4 linked regions of the Arabidopsis thaliana genome follow. The protein of the gene in region 1 interacts with the protein of each later gene in a pairwise test. Each region holds a gene or a part of one and is shown in the gene's direction. Other genes may lie near its edges.

Evidence for each region.
Region 2: the proteins of NHL3 (region 1) and CNGC6 interact in a protein complementation assay, tested with the Arabidopsis thaliana proteins (one large-scale study listed by BioGRID).
Region 3: the proteins of NHL3 (region 1) and CNGC19 interact in a protein complementation assay, tested with the Arabidopsis thaliana proteins (one large-scale study listed by BioGRID).
Region 4: the proteins of NHL3 (region 1) and PTR4 interact in a protein complementation assay, tested with the Arabidopsis thaliana proteins (one large-scale study listed by BioGRID).

What each region holds. Positions count from the first base shown.
Region 1 is NC_003076.8:1,930,271-1,933,328, reverse strand, and holds NHL3 (NDR1/HIN1-like 3), read left to right. Parts: upstream 1-1,560; 5' UTR 1,561-1,617; coding exon 1,618-2,313; 3' UTR 2,314-2,533; downstream 2,534-3,058. Other genes in the region: AtPOT1b (Nucleic acid-binding, OB-fold-like protein), read right to left, coding at 2,534-2,737, 2,813-2,965. UniProt on the Arabidopsis thaliana protein: Confers resistance to Pseudomonas syringae pv. tomato DC3000 (Pst DC3000).
Region 2 is NC_003071.7:10,200,596-10,207,448, reverse strand, and holds CNGC6 (cyclic nucleotide-gated channel 6), read left to right. Parts: upstream 1-2,026; 5' UTR 2,027-2,048; exon of another isoform or gene 2,049-2,206; coding exon of another isoform or gene 2,207-2,324; exon of another isoform or gene 2,325-2,647; intron 2,648-2,891; 5' UTR 2,892-3,061; exon of another isoform or gene 3,062-3,408; 5' UTR 3,409-3,437; coding exon 3,438-3,508; exon of another isoform or gene 3,509-3,586; coding exon 3,587-4,172; intron 4,173-4,255; coding exon 4,256-4,851; intron 4,852-4,933; coding exon 4,934-5,045; intron 5,046-5,143; coding exon 5,144-5,380; intron 5,381-5,462; coding exon 5,463-6,173; 3' UTR 6,174-6,345; downstream 6,346-6,853. Other genes in the region: ENODL11 (early nodulin-like protein 11), read left to right, coding at 175-614; AT2G23985 (uncharacterized protein), read right to left, coding at 1,166-1,345, 1,756-1,826, 1,948-1,966; AT2G23987 (uncharacterized protein), read left to right, coding at 1,190-1,334, 1,754-1,826, 1,975-1,998, 2,207-2,324; AT2G23970 (Class I glutamine amidotransferase-like superfamily protein), read right to left, coding at 6,368-6,478, 6,562-6,853. UniProt on the Arabidopsis thaliana protein: Probable cyclic nucleotide-gated ion channel.
Region 3 is NC_003074.8:6,043,179-6,049,036, forward strand, and holds CNGC19 (cyclic nucleotide gated channel 19), read left to right. Parts: upstream 1-1,823; 5' UTR 1,824-2,203; coding exon 2,204-2,596; intron 2,597-2,686; coding exon 2,687-2,878; intron 2,879-2,949; coding exon 2,950-3,048; intron 3,049-3,125; coding exon 3,126-3,512; intron 3,513-3,601; coding exon 3,602-3,847; intron 3,848-3,936; coding exon 3,937-4,082; intron 4,083-4,155; coding exon 4,156-4,233; coding exon of another isoform or gene 4,234-4,255; exon of another isoform or gene 4,256-4,272; intron 4,273-4,312; coding exon 4,313-4,442; intron 4,443-4,552; coding exon 4,553-4,793; coding exon of another isoform or gene 4,794-4,810; exon of another isoform or gene 4,811-4,883; coding exon 4,884-5,161; 3' UTR 5,162-5,351; downstream 5,352-5,858. Other genes in the region: AT3G17680 (Kinase interacting (KIP1-like) family protein), read right to left, coding at 1-984, 1,041-1,089. UniProt on the Arabidopsis thaliana protein: Putative cyclic nucleotide-gated ion channel.
Region 4 is NC_003071.7:476,960-481,713, forward strand, and holds PTR4 (Major facilitator superfamily protein), read left to right. Parts: upstream 1-2,017; 5' UTR 2,018-2,157; coding exon 2,158-2,214; intron 2,215-2,288; coding exon 2,289-2,391; intron 2,392-2,492; coding exon 2,493-2,710; intron 2,711-2,789; coding exon 2,790-3,276; intron 3,277-3,370; coding exon of another isoform or gene 3,371-3,399; coding exon 3,400-4,172; 3' UTR 4,173-4,226; downstream 4,227-4,754. Other genes in the region: AT2G02023 (uncharacterized protein), read right to left, coding at 4,508-4,754.

The sequences.
Region 1 (3,058 bases):
TATATGTCCATTTAAACTTTAGTGGACATCTATTCAACGCAATTTCTCAATAATTTATTCGGATGAATATCGGAATTGAGTAGATAGGGATCGGTCGTCGGTTCCTCCATTTTCAAAACCCTAAGAACAACCAAAGTCTTCATCATTTATTTGTCCAATTCCAATGATCTATTTCGTCCAAACGGCTAAGATTGAAGGAGTCTTCGTGAAATATTTGTTGTCTAATTTAGTTTAATGTTTTATCACCACACACATTGACACCGCATTAAACTCTAACAAGTTTTTCAAACACGTTTGTTCATCACCAGGTTTTTCTTTAAAATTATTGTGTATTACTTATCATATACAATGAAAATTATTGTTATACCGTATAACACATAAAAATTTCTTAAACTACATTGACTACTTTAATAAATAAATAAAACACATTACATCTCATATTATAAGAATACTTTTTTTAGTTGTTACATTTGTTTTTATAAATCCTCCATAGTTGTTTTAAAGTTTAATATGATTGAGTTGCGATCTAGTATTATTATTCTTTATTAAATATGCTTGACCTTTCTCATTGAAGAAAGATGTAAACATTTGAAAGCATGGCTTCACCTAATCTTCCTTTCAATTACAGGTCACATCATCCAACTCTAAACACCAACCTCCCTTAGTTTTCCTTGCTTTTAGCATTATAACATTAACAAGTCTTTGCAATGTTTAATTTTCTTTGAATTTGAGAAATCTTTCACATTAAACATTTTCATTAATTGATAATTAATTAAATAACCTTTATCAGTAGAACTGTTCTCATAGTTATAAAATAAACATTTGGAAAACCCCACCTCAGTTTCAACTTGCAACCTATAGATCAAAGTTATTTCATTTCATCATGTTATATATATAATGTCGAAATTCTTGACCGGGACTGGTTTGTCTTTTTCTAACTTTGTATAGGCTTATTGATATTTTGGCCACATTTTCTATTTTTGTTCTCAAAAGTCTTTCGTCAAGTTTAAGAAACAATGGCTATATTAGAGCAGTCGCTTTTGGGGAAGTTTCTCGGAAGCTTAGTTACATTGTAAAAATGACTATTCACAATTCACAAACTAACTACCGCACTAAGTATCATCACATTCTCACATGTCTTATATAATAAAAGAATATATAAATAAATATCTACATATGGATATTCTTGTATGCGATCGGCACTAACCTCATTAATCACCAAATCATGTATATATGGATTCAAGAAATAATCTCATTAAGCTTAACCAAAGTATACATAGTCAAATTGAAGAAGAAACCATATAGTAAAATTTAAGAAACAATCTTTAATGTATATCAAACTGTTAATCCTAAATATCTAATAACAATCTCGCAAGTAACCTCTACTTAAATCAAATTTTCATCGAACAATATTAAACCGACGCGTCACCTTTGACTTTGAAAAAACAAAACCGCGTCAAATTAAATCGTTTTATCTAATACACGTTATCTCTACAGTGTATATATATTACGGCCTCTTCTTCTTCACTTCAAATCATATTTACTTTTTCAAAATCTTATCACAAACCAAAAAAAACTTTCTTTCAAAATCGTTCTCTGAGGCATTTTAACGAACAGATGGCGGACTTAAACGGTGCGTATTACGGACCATCGATTCCACCGCCGAAGAAAGTCTCTCACAGCCACGGCAGACGCGGCGGTGGATGCGGTTGTTTAGGTGACTGTCTTGGCTGCTGCGGCTGCTGTATCTTAAGCGTCATCTTCAACATCCTCATAACCATAGCCGTCTTATTAGGCATAGCTGCTCTAATCATCTGGCTCATTTTCAGACCCAACGCTATCAAATTCCACGTCACCGACGCTAAACTCACCGAATTCACACTCGACCCAACCAACAACCTCCGATACAATCTCGATCTCAATTTCACAATCCGTAACCCTAACCGCCGGATCGGTGTTTACTATGATGAAATCGAAGTCAGAGGATACTACGGTGATCAGCGATTCGGTATGAGTAACAACATCTCGAAGTTTTACCAGGGACATAAGAACACGACGGTGGTTGGAACTAAACTCGTGGGACAGCAATTGGTGCTGCTTGACGGCGGAGAGAGGAAGGATTTGAACGAGGATGTGAATTCTCAGATCTATAGGATCGATGCCAAGCTGAGACTTAAGATTAGGTTTAAGTTTGGGTTGATCAAGTCGTGGAGGTTCAAGCCCAAGATCAAGTGCGATCTCAAGGTTCCTCTTACCTCTAATTCAACCAGCGGGTTTGTTTTTCAGCCGACCAAGTGTGACGTTGACTTTTGATTGCTAGTCAAGAGTCAATGCTATTATAGTCTTCTTCGAGTTCATCATATTACACTTGTTTATTGATTCTTATTTTAGATTGTTTTGCTTTATTATCTTCCATACATATCGTTGGAGAGAGATATTTTTCTTATGTAATGTTTTATTGTATGGTTCCATGTAAATAAATAATCACATTTTGTTTAATGCTAATAACTATACAATTAGCATTATGATTGTCTCATGAAGCATTGATCCAAGTATCAAAAATGCGGAATCTTCTGCTTTCCCACTGATCCATTTTGTGTTTGTAGAATGAGAACAAGCAACATTGTACCCATGGAGGATTTCTTGGCACTTTCTCCATCTCTTCACCTCCCAACAATCTATTCAGCTTCTTGACTAGAGCCTCTTCATCAGATTCGTCACACCCGAAAAACTTTTCCTGTAAAAAGATATACAGATATAAGTATTAGACAATCCTTCAATGAACACTAATAATTAATCGTGTTTTACTTACCCCTTCATCAGCATATAGAGAAGCATGGATTCTGGCGGTTGCATCTTCTAGTATAGCTACCAATTTGATATTTCCGTTGATATCACGGAGTTTTCTGACGTCTCGGGGATACACTTGTATGAACCGAACAACACACCTGAATTTAGCAGTCACCTGCATAATAAGCATCAGTAAAACATCAATTCAAGAAAGTTTTCACTATACTCTTTTCCTACAACTTATGATAAATCCAAGGTTTTTGGATAC
Region 2 (6,853 bases), on another chromosome or scaffold:
CTTCTGGTTTGAATATCAGAAGTCTTGAGTTGGGTTTGGTTATTTGATATGTCAATAATCCAAATCATTTAGATATATTCAAGGAACTTAAAACACATTTAAGATATATAATTATTTTTTCATATATACGAATGCATAAGATAGTAAGCTAAGGATTGTTTTTGCATGTGACAGTGTTTAAATACGATTCAAAGATCGATTCGGTGTTACAAGTAACAAAAGAAAACTACGAAAAATGCAACACACAGAAGCCTTTGGAAGAACACAAAGACGGATACACAACAGTGAAACTCGACGTCTCAGGGCCTTACTACTTCATAAGTGGAGCTCCGAGTGGTAACTGTGCTAAAGGTGAGAAAGTGACTGTCGTGGTTCAGTCACCTAACCACCCAAAGCCAGGACCAGCCGCTGTTACGCCCACTCTTCCTCCAAAGCCATCTACTACTCCGGCTGCTCCAGCCCCAGCTCCACCCACTCCTTCTCCAAAGTCATCTACTTCTACGATGGCTCCGGCGCCAGCTCCGGCCAAGAGCAGTGCTGTTGGGTTGGTTGCTGGAAATGGCATCTTTTGGGCCTCGACTCTTGTTGCTGTCATTGGGCTTGCTTTCGCTTAAGGCTTTTAACAAAAGTTCTTGAAGTTTAAATTTCATGTTATGCATCCAAAATCTATGTTTTGCAGAATAATTATTATCTGAATTTACAATATGTCATATCTGACATTACTTATAATTTAATTTACAATTCTTTTGTTTCTGTCAACAATTTATTCTACAAATATAAAAAAAAATTAGTTTCCTAGCAATGTCAAATCTTCTTGGTACCTAAATATTTTATATTGATGTCTCATTATTTATTCAATTGGGTGATGAATGTTTTGATTTCAAGGTGAAATCCTTCACTTGTCTTGACTCTTGCAGAATACATTAATCGGAGTACATTTATTGATTCACGTAGCTTTCTTCATTTTCAGAATTCGGATTATATCTACAGATTACAGCTCATGTAGGTTAGAGTTATTGGAATAAAACGAATGTTAAATATAATAAGAGTATCAGAGCACCTCCAGTGGAGAGAGCCTCTCCAAGGACTCTCTCCATTTTTTTATGATTAAATTTCCAAAAAATTAACAAGAGAGCTTTGTGTTTTACTTTTTGTTAAAGTTTTCTTAAAAGAGTTCTCTGAAAAAAAAATGAATGATCTTGTTTTCAATAACTTGTGTCTTCTCCTTCATCCTCATCGCCCTTGTTTCCATCCTCGACTTTACTTTCACCATCTTCGATTTCTTCAATTTCCAAAACCAATACGAGATGGAATGCTCAGCTCCATGTCCTTGGACCTTGATCATCTCCATTGTATCAAAACCGACTATTACTTATGTAACTTATCACATCTTTATCTCTTTTCAAATGAATAGAGAAAACAACAATAGCAACTGTAAAGACTACACCATGCAGCAGAATCATTTAAACTAAAGAAACACATAGACATATACACAAGGATATATATATATATATATATAAAGCAGTGGCACCAACCTACATGACTACTATTGAAGCATGCTTATGTACGCTTTAGATTCAGAATATTGGAAGATTAGCCAAAAAAAAAGAAAAAGCAAGAGTAATAAGAAAGCAGCTTTAGCTACCGTTCCAGAAGAAAGCTAGGCTTAAAATGACTTAATGCATCCAGTTTTTAATGAATGATCTACAAAGGTTCATGATGTAATAAGATAATATACCTGAAAAGACAACATACCACATAATTATTATCCGAGGCAACAACAGTCTGCATTATGTCTTCATTTTCCTTTACTTGAAAGTATATATCTGCAGAGCATAAGCGTAATTCTATTAAATTATTCACAGTTATAAGCCAACTGAATAAATACAAAGCAAAAAACAAAAACTAAGAATTCTGGCCAAAGAATATTCTCATGAACTCCAATACCAAGTAAACCTGAGAGCATCTGGGTACCTTTTTTGTTCACCTGAACAAGACACTACGGGAAATGTCAGATCCGCAAAACCAAGTTCGGAAAAAACAAACAGGTAGAGTCAAAACCAGTATTCATCAATCTTAAATTCAATATTCAACATTGGTTTTACAATTGTTTTACCTGAATTTTTATCTTATGTTGAATTGAAAGATTAAACCACCAAATACAACATGTAATCACGATATACAAGCAAGAATGGCTTGATTCATACCTAATTTGGAGACTTCGGCAACGATTACTCTCCAAATCAGATTTGCTATTCTCCGATTGGGTTTCTCTTCCGCCGATGGTCTTCACCGTCTTTCGTTTTGATGAATCCGGCGTCTAGAAGCCTCAGATAACACAATTACACACAATCACGGCGTCAACTAATCGGAAATCAAGAGTTCACCGCCGGTTTCATTATCACGAGAGAGAGAGACAGAGAAAGAAAGTGATTATCTCTTTCGAACAAAAAAATGAAACGCTACTTTTTTTTTGTTTTGTTAAAACTTCACAACAAATCAATTAGCGACACCTGTCGCCTCTCTCGTTCCCTCAAAAACTCTCTTCAGAGAAACGCCTCTCTCAGTTTAATTCAATTTTGATTTATTTGTAATTCAAATTATCAAGAGAGCCCAACAAATATTGCATTAAAACCCTGCGTTGGAGATGCTCTCTTATAGCATCTATTATCAACCATAGTATCACATTTTTTTTGTGGACAAAGAACCATAATATAACATTTTGATACGTAAACAAATTATTTAATTCCATGCATGGCGTGGGACAACCTAATTATACATATAATTTATTTTTTTAAGTAGTAGATATTGAATCAAAGTAAAATATAGAAGCAGTGAAAATTATAGTTTGTAGTATATCCCTATATTTCTTACATGTAATGATTTAAAAGGAGACAGCACAGGAAGCGGGTGGGACCCGACTCGGACAGCAAGAAGAAGAAAGTCAATTTTTTGGACACAAGACAGAAGAAGACACCTTCACTTTCTTCTCTGCCCGTTTTTTAACAATTTGTGCTCTTCTTCTTCCGTTTCTTCTTCGCCGTCAGATTCGACTGTAACTGTAAGTTCTTCTTCTTCTTCATGTTCCTCCTGATCTCAGTCGCTGAGCTTGATTAGAGTTTGCAATTGTTTGACTTTGGATTCGATTTAGGCTATCTTAGAAATGAGTTTGGTTCGTTTTGTGTAGCTAAAGTTTCGATTTTTGTTTCTGGGTTTTAAATTTATCATCTTTTATGAATCTGGTGAAATGATAAATTAGCTCAAGTAACCTAATTTCAGAACCCAATCGCTTTGATTTGCAAAAAAAGAAAAACTCCTCCTTAGTTCCAATTAGGTAACTCCTAAAATTATAGCTGAAAAGGGTTCGCTAGTGATTCTCTTCTTGATGATAATTTGTCTCAAAAGCAGTTTTTTTAGGATTCATGAGTTAAAAGAGTATGTTCGATACTTGTGGCCCAAAAGGAGTCAAATCTCAAGTCATCAGTGGCCAACGCGAGAACTTTGTGAGGTATATATAACAATTTTTGAATCTCATGAAATTGTATGAATAGTATTAAGCTTTTTGAGTATTCCTGAATTCAAATAGGTTAGATAGTATGGACTCAAGGTACTCGCAAAGTTCCGAAACGGGTCTAAACAAATGCACATTGAATATACAAGGAGGACCTAAACGTTTTGCTCAAGGAAGCAAAGCATCATCTGGATCTTTTAAGAAAGGGTTTAGAAAAGGATCAGAGGGGCTTTGGTCTATAGGTCGATCGATTGGACTCGGTGTTTCGCGCGCTGTGTTTCCAGAAGATCTTGAAGTATCAGAGAAGAAGATATTTGATCCACAAGACAAGTTTCTTTTACTCTGCAACAAGTTGTTCGTCGCTTCGTGTATACTCGCAGTATCCGTTGATCCTCTCTTCTTGTATCTTCCTTTCATTAATGATAAAGCGAAATGTGTTGGTATAGATCGGAAACTGGCTATTATAGTAACTACAATAAGGACAGTTATAGATTCGTTTTATCTCTTTCATATGGCTCTACGGTTTAGAACAGCTTATGTTGCTCCCTCGTCACGGGTTTTTGGCCGCGGAGAGCTTGTTATAGACCCGGCGCAGATAGCTAAGCGGTATCTGCAACAGTATTTCATCATTGATTTACTTTCTGTTCTTCCGGTTCCACAGGTATAACAACAGAATGTGACATCAAACATCTCTACATTTCAAGATTTTGTTGGTTGATATTCATTTTTGTCTATTTTATTCAGATTATAGTTTGGAGATTCCTCTATACTTCGAGGGGTGCGAATGTACTGGCGACAAAACAAGCACTTAGATATATCGTTTTAGTTCAGTATATTCCGCGGTTTCTTCGAATGTATCCTTTAAGTTCAGAACTGAAGAGAACTGCCGGGGTATTCGCTGAAACTGCGTGGGCGGGTGCAGCGTACTACTTGTTGCTTTACATGCTCGCAAGTCATGTTAGCATCCAATTTTCTTGTACCATACTGTATCCGTTTTTATGTTCTCATAAGTTCATGTGTATGCAGATTGTTGGGGCTTTGTGGTATTTGCTTGCTTTAGAACGCAATAACGACTGTTGGAGTAAGGCTTGCCACAATAACCAGAACTGTACTAGAAACTTCTTGTTTTGTGGTAACCAAAATATGAAAGGTTATGCTGCTTGGGACAATATTAAAGTTTCGTATCTTCAACTAAAGTGCCCTGTCAATGTCCCCGAAGATGAAGAACCTCCTTTTGATTTTGGAATCTACTTAAGAGCACTCTCCTCTGGCATCGTCTCGTCTAAGAACTTTGTCTCTAAGTACTTCTTCTGTTTGTGGTGGGGACTACAGAATCTTAGGTAATACAAAGGATTTTATTTTGTTATATTGTCAATGCGATGAGTCTCTTTCGTATTAGTAACCTCGATAATCCTTTTGCAGTACACTTGGTCAAGGGCTTGAAACCAGCACATATCCTGGAGAGGTTATATTCTCTATAACACTTGCTATTGCTGGACTTCTACTATTTGCACTTCTCATTGGAAACATGCAGGTAAATAAGGGACCTTGTTAGTGTTTTTTGTGTTTATACACTTGTTATCGCTAGTGAGTATGAAAAACGATGTGATGTTTTTGATAAATTCTTGACAGACTTATCTTCAATCGCTTACCATTCGGTTAGAAGAAATGCGAGTAAAAAGACGTGACTCAGAACAGTGGATGCATCATCGAATGCTTCCACCAGAACTGCGGGAACGGGTTAGACGATATGACCAGTACAAGTGGTTGGAGACGCGTGGAGTTGATGAAGAGAATCTTGTTCAGAATCTCCCAAAGGATCTTAGAAGAGATATCAAACGTCATCTCTGTCTCGCGTTAGTCCGAAGAGTAAGTTTCTTTTCGTAATTCACTCGATTTAACATCTTCGTAAAAGTCTTTTTAAATCCGTTTTCTTTTTCCTATGGCAAAGGTTCCATTGTTTGAGAATATGGATGAGAGGCTGTTAGATGCAATCTGTGAGAGGCTTAAGCCATGTCTGTTCACTGAGAAGTCGTACTTGGTTCGTGAGGGAGATCCAGTCAACGAGATGCTCTTCATTATCCGTGGTAGGCTCGAAAGTGTAACCACTGATGGCGGTAGAAGCGGATTCTACAACCGGAGTTTACTTAAAGAAGGAGATTTCTGCGGTGACGAGCTTTTGACATGGGCGCTTGATCCCAAATCCGGTTCTAACCTCCCTTCCTCTACAAGAACCGTGAAGGCCTTAACCGAAGTGGAAGCTTTCGCTCTGATAGCCGATGAGCTGAAATTCGTGGCAAGCCAGTTCAGGAGACTCCATAGCAGACAAGTACAACACACGTTCAGATTCTATTCACAGCAATGGAGGACTTGGGCCGCTTGCTTCATGCAAGCAGCATGGCGACGGTACATAAAGAGGAAGAAATTGGAGCAACTTAGAAAAGAAGAGGAAGAAGAAGAAGCGGCAGCAGCATCAGTTATAGCAGGAGGAAGTCCTTATAGCATAAGAGCAACGTTCTTGGCTTCAAAGTTTGCGGCAAATGCACTTCGTAGCGTTCACAAGAACCGGACCGCGAAATCAACATTGTTGTTGTCATCTACTAAAGAATTGGTGAAATTTCAGAAACCTCCAGAACCAGATTTCTCTGCTGAAGATCACTGATCCAATATCGCATACGCAAGAATTCTTTTTCTTTTTAACTTGTACACAATCTCTAAGAATGCTCCAAATTTTTTTGTTGTTGTTTAAACACTTACTGTAATATAAATGATTATTTGTGATCGTTCTTAATCTTGTTATTACATAGAAATGTTTTTTAAGATTTTCAAACCAATTCTACAGGTTTTGTTCATTGTTTAAACTTGCTCGGATCTTCCTTTGAGAAAGTTTTTGCAGAGAGTCTGCCATTGCTTCCGATCTGGTTCCGCGTTTTCCATCGTTGCCTTCGCCTTATCCGCAAAATCTTGCTGAGAAAACAAACAAAGAAACATCAAGAAAGCTTCCAACAAGTAACACTAAAGACGATGGAATAAAGATATAAGAAGCAAACCTCCATCAACTTCAAATTGACGACACGATCAATGATCTCGAAAAGAATCTCTTTGTTGTACTCAGGATGGCCTTGGATGCCTAGCAAGTGGTTTCCATACGAACACATCTCAACGTTGTATTTGTCTGAATAAGCAAGCAATGTGGCTGATTCAGGGAGTTCAAGAACTTCATCTTGATGGCATTTTATAATGGCTAGTGATTTCGGAATCTGGCTTCCAAAGTAACCACCTGGCTTCACCGCGTCTGTAACCATTGTTATGCTTCTTAGTCCCATATCCAAACCTCTACTC
Region 3 (5,858 bases), on another chromosome or scaffold:
CCGATGGGTTAAGGCTGCACTTTGTAAACAGGTTAATGGTGTTCAGTTTCTTCAACCACTTGAATCCAGGCTTCTTCTCTTCGGTTTTGTTCTCCTTCTTCTTTTTGGTCTTATGCTTATCCAGGCCAAAGCATCCGTATGAGACCTTATCAGAGACGGGCTCTGAGTTCCTAGATGCCTGAAGCGAGTAGATGCGGTTCTGGAGAATGCAGACCTTGTGAAAGTGGTCATCTCTCATCTTAAGCACACACCTAGCAAGCCCAACAGCTTCGTTCTTCATGAACAATGCCTCAGTGGCTAGCTCTCTGTTCTCCTCCAAGAGAGAAGTGAGTTTGTAGCCAAGATTAGCGTTTTCCTCCACAGCCACTTCTTTCTCCATCTCCAGCAACATGACAAACTTCTTCAACAGCTCTATAGTCTTGGAGGCTTCATGAAACTGTTGGTCCTTGTGAAGTAACTCGTGTTTCAGAATCTCTTTGTCCAAGCTTGCTGTCACAAGTTGGGATACAAGCTCATCGACTTTCTCAGAAACCGCAGTAGGATCTTTCATCTGTTGAAAGGATAAGGTGCTCTCAACTTCAGAACTGACCTCACTAACGGAATCAATGTCCGAAATGCAGTCATCATCATCTTGGAGAAGCTGGTTCGGAAGAGAAGTAGTGGGTTTAAGTCTGGTCTGATGAGAAGAACGACCCAAGAGAGTGACGTAGCCGTTGTACAGGTCCAGACAAAGTGAGAGAAGCAAAGGTCGTCCCTGGTAAAACCATTCAGCTCGTTGAGCAAAGGTATCATCATCTCCTTGGCTTTCTTGAAAACCAGACTCACGCAGGATTTGCATCCGAGCTTCAAGGTCTGTTTCCAACATTTTTTCAGACAAGAAGTGATGAGAGAGAAAGACAAACAGAGCAAGAGAGAGAGAGAAAAAGGGGGTCCACTGTTTCTGTAGCATGCTTTGTGATTTGAAAATTTGAAAATGTGAAAAAGCTCCAAAAAGAGAGAGAGAGAGTGAGAAGAAATTTGAAAATGGAAAATGAAAGTACCAGAGAGAGATGGCAACTGTGGAGCTTCCATGGATGCTTTGTTCTTCATCTTCTTCAACCTGAAAGATATACTTGTTTTAGTTAGTGATTCGTATATAAAATTATAAAGGGAAAATGGGAATAATGGCATAGATGATGAAGACATTGATGGCTTTTCCAAGAAGATAATAAATGTTAAGAAAGGGATATTTTAGATCATCGAGATTAATGAAGGATCGGAGTGGGGAGAAGAAAGATACAAACCCAGAAATAGTGAGAGAGAGAAGATAGCTGACACGTTTGTTCAGTTGTATCAGTGCAGAGCATATAACAGGCAAAATCCGCCAAAGTTACAAGCATTTGATTTTGTTCCACTCATATTTTAACACGTGGCTTTAGTACTTGGGTTTGGTAGTTGCGGCCCATTGTTTGTTGGGCTTAATAACTCAAAGCCTTTAGGTTTTTGAGATTCTGACATCAAATTTAGAAAGCAAAAAGAGGGAGAGAGCATATTGGTTGGTGGTAAATGACAATTTTATATATCCAGAAGAGTTCATAAAGTTATGTCATCGAATAATGTTTTCATAAATAAATAAAAATGTGCGTTTTAGAAAATAATATTTATTTCATCGTCTTTTTCCATAAACGCGGATCTCTTTATTCACACTCTTAATTATTTTATCATATGAGACAATTGCATATAAAAAAAAAAAACCTGAACTGTGTGTTTGGTGAGAATTCCAGTTTATTCTTTTTCACTAATGCTCAGAAATCATCATTCTTATTTGGAAATATGCACTAAATAAAATACACAATGGACAAAGCTCTTGGATAAAGTTTTCAAAGTAACACAAGAGGCAGCTTCTTGAGGTTTTCTCTCTTCCAACTTTTTTGCTTTACTTACTACTGAGGTTTTCTATTCCTTTGGAAGCTTCGTTGATGGGTTCAACACAAGATCTAAAATGTAACATTTCTTTTCTTAAATTTCCTGCAAAGTTCGATGTAGTTCATGTTTTTTTTTTTCCATTCTTTTCCTTATAAAGTGTCGTCCACATTTGCTTGACGGGATACAAAACGAAACCCAAGTCTCTGTCTTCGTCTCCTTCTTTCTTCTTCTCTCTGTCATCATTTTGCTTTTTTTTCTTCTCCTACATGCCCTAGATTTTGGGTTTCTGAAATAAAAAATGGCTCACACTAGGACTTTCACTTCCAGAAACCGTAGCGTTTCTCTCTCAAACCCATCTTTCTCCATTGACGGATTTGACAACTCAACTGTGACTTTAGGCTACACGGGTCCTCTTCGAACCCAGAGAATAAGACCTCCTTTAGTGCAAATGAGTGGTCCTATTCACTCTACTCGCAGAACAGAACCTCTCTTCTCTCCTTCTCCTCAAGAATCTCCTGATTCCTCTTCTACCGTTGATGTTCCACCTGAAGATGATTTCGTCTTCAAAAACGCAAATCTCTTGAGATCTGGACAATTAGGGATGTGCAATGATCCTTACTGCACTACTTGCCCTTCTTACTACAACCGCCAAGCTGCTCAATTGCACACTTCCAGAGTTTCTGCCTCTAGGGTATGATATTTCTACTTACCTTGAGACTCAAGTAAACATTATACATAGCAGCTGACACAAGAGTATTTTACTTTCTTTTGTCTTGTTTAGTTTCGCACTGTTCTGTATGGTGATGCTAGAGGTTGGGCTAAGCGATTTGCCTCCTCTGTTCGTAGATGCTTACCCGGAATAATGAATCCTCATTCCAAATTTGTTCAAGTCTGGACTAGAGTCTTAGCCTTTTCAAGCTTAGTGGCCATTTTTATAGACCCTCTCTTCTTTTTCCTCTTATTGATCCAACAAGTATGTCTCCTTCTCTTGCTCTATCAATCTCCTTCTTGACTGTATACGTTTTCATGAGTTTGATACTGCAGGACAACAAATGCATAGCGATTGATTGGCGTGCGACTAAAGTATTGGTGTCTCTTAGAAGTATAACGGATCTTATATTCTTCATTAACATTCTGCTTCAGGTGTGTCTCCATTGCTCCTATCTCATATCTAAGGAAATTCATTGGCTTTAACGCTTCTTTGGTCTTATGTGTTGCAGTTTAGGTTGGCCTATGTAGCTCCTGAGTCTAGAATAGTTGGTGCCGGCCAGTTAGTTGATCATCCAAGAAAAATTGCTCGCCATTACTTCCGAGGAAAGTTTCTCCTTGACATGTTCATAGTCTTTCCCATTCCACAGATAATGATATTAAGGATAATACCATTACACTTAGGCACACGCAGGGAAGAATCTGAGAAACAGATTTTACGCGCTACGGTTCTTTTTCAATACATTCCAAAGTTATATAGACTCTTACCTCTTCTTGCTGGACAAACATCTACTGGCTTCATATTTGAGTCAGCTTGGGCTAATTTTGTTATTAATCTTCTCACCTTCATGCTTGCTGGTCACGCTGTTGGCTCTTGCTGGTATCTCTCTGCTCTGCAGGTATATAGTAGAAGATCAGTGTCTTTAAAGATTCTCTTCATATCTATCAAGTGATTTAAAGATTGTTTTTGTTGTATTGCTTTTTTCAGAGAGTTAAGAAATGCATGCTGAATGCTTGGAATATTTCTGCGGATGAACGTAGAAATCTTATCGATTGTGCTCGTGGAAGTTATGCATCGAAGTCACAACGAGATCTGTGGAGAGATAATGCTAGTGTCAATGCTTGTTTTCAAGAAAATGGTTATACCTATGGGATCTATTTGAAGGCAGTGAATCTTACCAATGAATCTAGTTTCTTCACAAGATTCAGTTATTCTCTGTATTGGGGATTCCAAGTAAGTTCATTTCAGGTTTGGTTGATGTTGCAGCTATTAGTCTTTGAATCACTCTTTAACTAATGTTGAAATGTTTTCAACTCTGAAAGCAAATAAGCACACTTGCTGGAAACTTATCCCCAAGTTACTCAGTGGGTGAGGTTTTCTTTACAATGGGTATCATTGGACTAGGGCTTTTGCTTTTTGCGCGGCTTATCGGTAACATGCACAACTTCCTTCAATCACTTGATCGAAGGTAAATCACATTTCATCAACAATGTTCTGAAAAGGGATGGTGAATTTCTTGGCTAATGCATGTTCTGTTTTAGGAGGATGGAAATGATGCTGAGAAAGCGTGATGTGGAGCAGTGGATGAGCCATAGACGTTTGCCAGAAGATATAAGAAAGTCTGTGCACTGTGGCATTTGATTTTCTCAGGCTGTGTAATGTGATATTCATAACTAATCAACTGTTCAACTTTTTCAGGAGGGTGAGAGAGGTTGAGCGGTACACTTGGGCTGCGACAAGAGGAGTTAACGAAGAATTGCTATTTGAGAACATGCCTGATGACCTTCAAAGAGATATAAGAAGACACCTCTTCAAATTTCTCAAGAAGGTAATAAGCAACAGCCTCATGACAGCATTAGTCAGTATTCATTTTGTGTACTCAGACTCCACAGTGTTGCAAAAAGCTAGTTCTGAATCCAAGTGTTAATGAGTTTGCAGGTGAGAATATTTTCGTTGATGGATGAATCAGTTTTAGATTCAATCAGAGAGAGGCTGAAACAGAGGACTTACATAAGGAGTAGCACGGTGTTGCATCACAGAGGTCTAGTAGAGAAAATGGTATTCATAGTGAGAGGTGAGATGGAGAGCATTGGAGAAGACGGTTCTGTTCTTCCTTTATCAGAAGGAGACGTTTGTGGTGAAGAACTTCTCACTTGGTGCCTCTCTTCTATAAACCCCGGTACTAATAACATTTGAGTGTTCATAACTCTTAATGTTTTTTGGTTAGAAACTTGGAACTTTGGAGCTGAATACGTTTTGAAACTTGCAGATGGGACGAGGATAAAGATGCCACCAAAGGGATTGGTTAGCAACAGAAATGTTAGGTGTGTGACAAACGTGGAGGCGTTTTCGCTGAGTGTAGCAGATCTTGAAGATGTAACAAGCTTGTTTTCAAGATTCTTAAGAAGCCATCGAGTGCAAGGAGCTATAAGGTACGAGTCTCCTTATTGGAGGTTACGAGCAGCTATGCAGATCCAAGTGGCTTGGAGATACCGAAAGAGACAACTCCAGAGATTAAACACTGCTCACTCCAATTCCAACCGTTAAATTTGATGATGATGTTTGGTTTGGTAGATTAGTAATTTTATTTTGAAGTATAAAGCTTAGTGATTCACTATAAAAGATGAATCGATGATTCATTCGTTGTAATCAATTCACTCATTAGTGTTTCTTAAGTATCTTTTTGCTGTTTTTCCAATCATACGGTATAATTTTACTTCAGGTCACTCGGCTTGAGTAACTTGGGCTCATAATTTCGGCCCATTCTAATTGATCTTAAATTAATAATTAATCAAGCCTGGATAATGAATGATTTTTGCCTTTTCGGTACTTCTTTACTGTAAGAAGTTAATTAAGACAAAGAAACGGAAACAGCCATGTAGTTAATGACATTTTGCCTCCAATAATTAGGGCCAATTAATTAGTTACAGTTGGTAATCAAATAAAGGAATTTTCGAATTCGTGAATATTCAAAAGGAAATAAATGTTAAAAACACAGAGGAGAGAGAAGCCTCACGGACACGAAATAATAAACAATGTAATAAAAGTCAGTGTTTGACTTTTCCAGACATGAGTTTTATTTACAATAATACACTTCCTTGACCTGGGCTACGAAGAAGAAGACCCCTGACTTGGTCATCATCTCCTTTCTTATTTCTTCTTCTTCTTATCAAAATTACTAAAACTCTCTGCTTCAACTTCCTTCTCCGCCTCAAATTTTCCCTTTATGCCTAGATTCTAGCCT
Region 4 (4,754 bases), on another chromosome or scaffold:
AATGTGAATATAGTACTAGATTATATTGTTTTCGTGATTCCTTTTTGCTGTCAATGGAATTTATACCAATAAGCTAGAAACCAAATTCGAACTTATATTGGTATCACCACTAAAGGACATTGACTTTTTGTTGTAAGATCTCATATTACCATCTCTAAAGTATAAAAATTCAAATAAACATCAAACCCATGGTCTGACCTAATTAAACAAATAAAGTTAGGCGATTTATCAAACCTCCCACATGTTTAGACTAGCTTTAGAATAGCCCTAGCTTGGGTTAATTTTGTTGAAAACTAGAATCCACTAGCCCTAGCTTGGGTTAATTACGTTGAATACTACAGCTTGATCAGCATTGTTTCTAGATTACCTTTTTTTTTTTTTTTTCAATTGTACATAGGATTTACTTATATTTTCGAATGGATACATGAAACAAGAATACTTCATCATATATGTTTATATTTTTTAAAAAATCAGATTTTATAGACAATTCTATTTTGACTATTCAGGATATTATTAAATACAGTTTTCATTTTCTTTATCTATCTTGTTTTTATTTTTTGACTGAAGGACTTGTCAGTAACAAAAGTAAAACAACAGGTTTGTTATATCTTGTTTTTTTTTGTCTCCCCCAAATGATTTTCAGAAATAAAAATATTTGTGAGTGGCACTCATACGTAATTAAGAGGCAGGGAATGGGGCATAACTGGCAGTAAGAAACAAAAGAAGAAAAATAGTAAAAGTCAAAAGTCGACCCATCAGTCACTCTCTAACGCGTTAGTCAATGGGAACCGGCAAATGGAGACCGAGACGCCACTCGCCGAACCGGCAATTATGGGTAACCGCCACCGGTTTACTTCTCTAAAGTTCTGACTTTCCTTAATTATTGCAACACGAATTTTGAAATGGCCAATTAATACATGCTCTGTTCGGTTTTGTTTGTACTAGTCAACTATTAGCGACCGAATTATTGACTATTCAATAGTTCAACGTTAAATTATTAAGGACAATTCAAAACTATTCCTTTCATATTCAACATTTTTATTTAGAGACAAAATCACCAATCCATAATTTAATTTATTTATTTATTAATCATTTAAGCGGTTCGAAAACTATATCACTAAAATCAATTGGTAAACCAATAAATTACAAAACGATCATGATTTACTAGAGCTTCTCGTTTTTGAGGTTGAAGACTGTTGGTCTCCCAAAAAAAAAAAATCAATTTACCCCAAAACTATTTTTATTTTGCATTAATTAATTATTATCATAAAACTTTATTAACACCATAAATTGCATTTGGTGCTTCAAAAAATAAAATAGTATTTATTTACTTAATTCCTTACCAAATATTTTATATCCAAGTTGTGGAGGTCATAAAATTGGCCCAACAAGTACAAATTAGGAAACCCACTAATATTTAAAGCCCAATAGGTCCACTCAATTTTGCAATTTCTTAAAACGTGTTGTTAACAAGAACACATTTTATGGTCCAGTGGTCACCGCCACCAACTTCTCGACTTCGAGAGAGACAAGAGTAATCCAACGATCTGGTTGATAGTGGTAACACTGTTCCAATGAGCATTTTTTGGCATATCCCTCAATATATCTTTATTGGGAACATCTAGCGTTTTGTTCTTTCTTAGTCGGCTTGATTTTTTCTATGAACAATCTCTAGATGCAAAATTTGTGTAGTGCTTGGACTCTTCACTCGGCTCATTGATTCTTACACTTGTTGCATATTTCACGACAATGAACCTTAGTAACGGTCATCTTGATTACTATTTTTGGCTTTTGGTCTGTCTTGGCTTTGTTAATTTACCGGTTTGGCTAGAAAGGTTTCGTAAGATTTGTTTGATGTCTTCTTTAAAACTTGAAGTCTCTAACTTGTTTGATAACTTTTGTTGTGTTAGGGGAAAAGTGTGCTATGGCTCAAAATTTGCTTAATGCTTAAGTCTAATCAGATTAATAAAGTTTGTGTGGTTTTATATTCCCTCTTTTTTTTTATAACATTTTTTAAAGAATGTGGTTCTGTGGTGAGTGACCACTCACACCACCAACAACAACTTGGTCAGTGGGAGGATCATTTTATTTGATCCTTCGTTGAGAAGCTTAAATCAGCTTTACGTGAAAATTGTCATGTTGAGGAGAAAGTAAAAAATGGCTTCCATTGATGAAGAAAGGTCACTTCTTGAAGTTGAAGAATCTCTTATACAGGTTCAACCTCATTGTCATTGTTTCTTTAGTGTTTTGGGGTCTAAATCTTTGTTGACTAATTCGTTTTTCTCCAGGAAGAAGTAAAATTATATGCTGAAGATGGTTCAATAGATATTCATGGAAACCCACCATTGAAGCAGACAACAGGAAACTGGAAAGCTTGTCCATTCATTTTTGGTAAACACTTTGTTTTATTTCACTTGTAATGTACTTGTTGTATTCTCTCATGTTCTGTCTTTAATCTCCAAAAACTGATATCTATGCTTTGGTTGGTGCAGCAAACGAATGCTGCGAACGGTTGGCTTATTATGGAATTGCCAAGAATCTCATCACGTACTTCACAAATGAATTGCATGAGACTAATGTTTCTGCTGCTAGACACGTCATGACATGGCAAGGAACATGTTACATCACTCCTCTTATTGGAGCTTTAATAGCTGATGCTTACTGGGGAAGATATTGGACTATTGCTTGTTTCTCTGCCATTTATTTCACCGTAAGCATTTTCTTGAAAAATAACTTTGCTTTATGTTCTGTTCTTGGCTTGATGTTCTGTTCTTTGATGTTGTTTTAAGGGAATGGTTGCATTGACACTCTCAGCTTCAGTTCCGGGTCTTAAGCCAGCGGAATGCATTGGCTCTCTATGTCCACCAGCAACAATGGTTCAGTCTACGGTTTTATTTTCAGGGCTTTACCTTATCGCTCTTGGCACTGGAGGAATCAAACCATGTGTCTCATCCTTTGGTGCTGATCAGTTTGATAAGACCGATCCAAGCGAACGAGTCAGAAAAGCTTCTTTCTTTAACTGGTTTTACTTCACTATCAACATTGGTGCTTTTGTTTCATCTACTGTTCTAGTTTGGATTCAAGAGAATTATGGATGGGAATTAGGATTCTTGATACCTACCGTGTTCATGGGACTTGCTACTATGAGTTTCTTCTTTGGCACGCCGCTTTATAGATTTCAGAAACCGAGAGGTAGCCCGATTACTAGCGTCTGCCAAGTTCTTGTAGCCGCATACCGTAAATCGAATCTCAAGGTCCCTGAAGACTCCACGGACGGTTACAAGAAAATCTTTTTCCCTCTCATTTCTTGTTTGAATTGAGCATTAGTCTATTAACGGTTAAATAAACGGGTTGTGATATCAATGTACAGGTTTCTTGACAAAGCGGCAATTATATCAGAAGGAGATGCAAACACTAACCCGTGGAAGCTATGTACCGTGACTCAAGTCGAAGAAGTTAAGATTCTGTTACGTTTGGTCCCCATTTGGGCCTCAGGAATCATCTTCTCAGTTCTCCATTCACAGATTTACACTCTCTTTGTTCAACAAGGACGGTGCATGAAACGAACCATCGGCTTATTCGAAATCCCTCCCGCAACTCTCGGGATGTTCGACACTGCAAGTGTTCTCATATCTGTCCCAATCTATGACCGCGTCATCGTTCCCTTAGTGAGACGGTTCACAGGCTTAGCTAAAGGATTCACCGAGCTACAAAGAATGGGGATTGGTCTTTTTGTCTCTGTTTTGAGCTTGACATTTGCAGCTATCGTTGAGACGGTTCGGTTACAGTTAGCTAGAGATCTTGATCTAGTGGAAAGTGGAGACATTGTTCCATTAAACATCTTTTGGCAAATCCCTCAGTACTTTTTAATGGGCACTGCTGGAGTTTTCTTCTTTGTTGGGAGGATTGAGTTTTTCTATGAGCAATCTCCAGATTCAATGAGAAGCTTGTGTAGTGCTTGGGCTCTTCTCACTACTACACTAGGAAACTACTTGAGCTCGTTGATCATTACCCTTGTGGCGTATTTGAGCGGAAAAGATTGTTGGATTCCTTCAGACAACATTAACAATGGACATCTTGATTACTTCTTCTGGCTTTTGGTCAGTCTTGGATCTGTTAACATACCTGTTTTTGTCTTCTTCTCTGTGAAATATACTCATATGAAGGTTTGATCTCTTCTTCTGGCTCTTGTGTGTACTTTCAAAATTGTTTTTTTTTAAACCAGCAAATCAGTTATATTAAATCATAACGGTTTACATGATACATACAACAACCATTCAAATATAACTATTGAAACAAATAAAGGAAATTGAACACAATTTTGATGAAGAAGTGTAAGTGACCCTGCTTTCGAAACGGAAGCCTTACAGGCAACAAAATAAATCTGTTAAGTCCTCTCATCATACACTCGCAAAAAGCTAACATCTTATAGATGAAACTCCTAAATGCTTTCTGCATTACTTTAATAAAACGAAGAATTTGGTAAGTTGCTCGAAATGGTTCTGAATCATGCTTTTTGAAACGCTCTGCACCGGTTAATGACTATGGATTTTCCTTTTACAAGACTCACTAACGGATTCAATCCATTAGTTTTCATTTTCTCTTGCGCCAATTTGTCAAATCTTCGAAGACATAATATTCCCGGAACCCATATTCGTCGACCGAAGCACCAGTTGTGAGGAAGAGTCGCTACGAGCCTCATTTGATCTTCGGCTAAAACCTCTTGCAACGGTTCACTAGGAAGCGCACCAGAG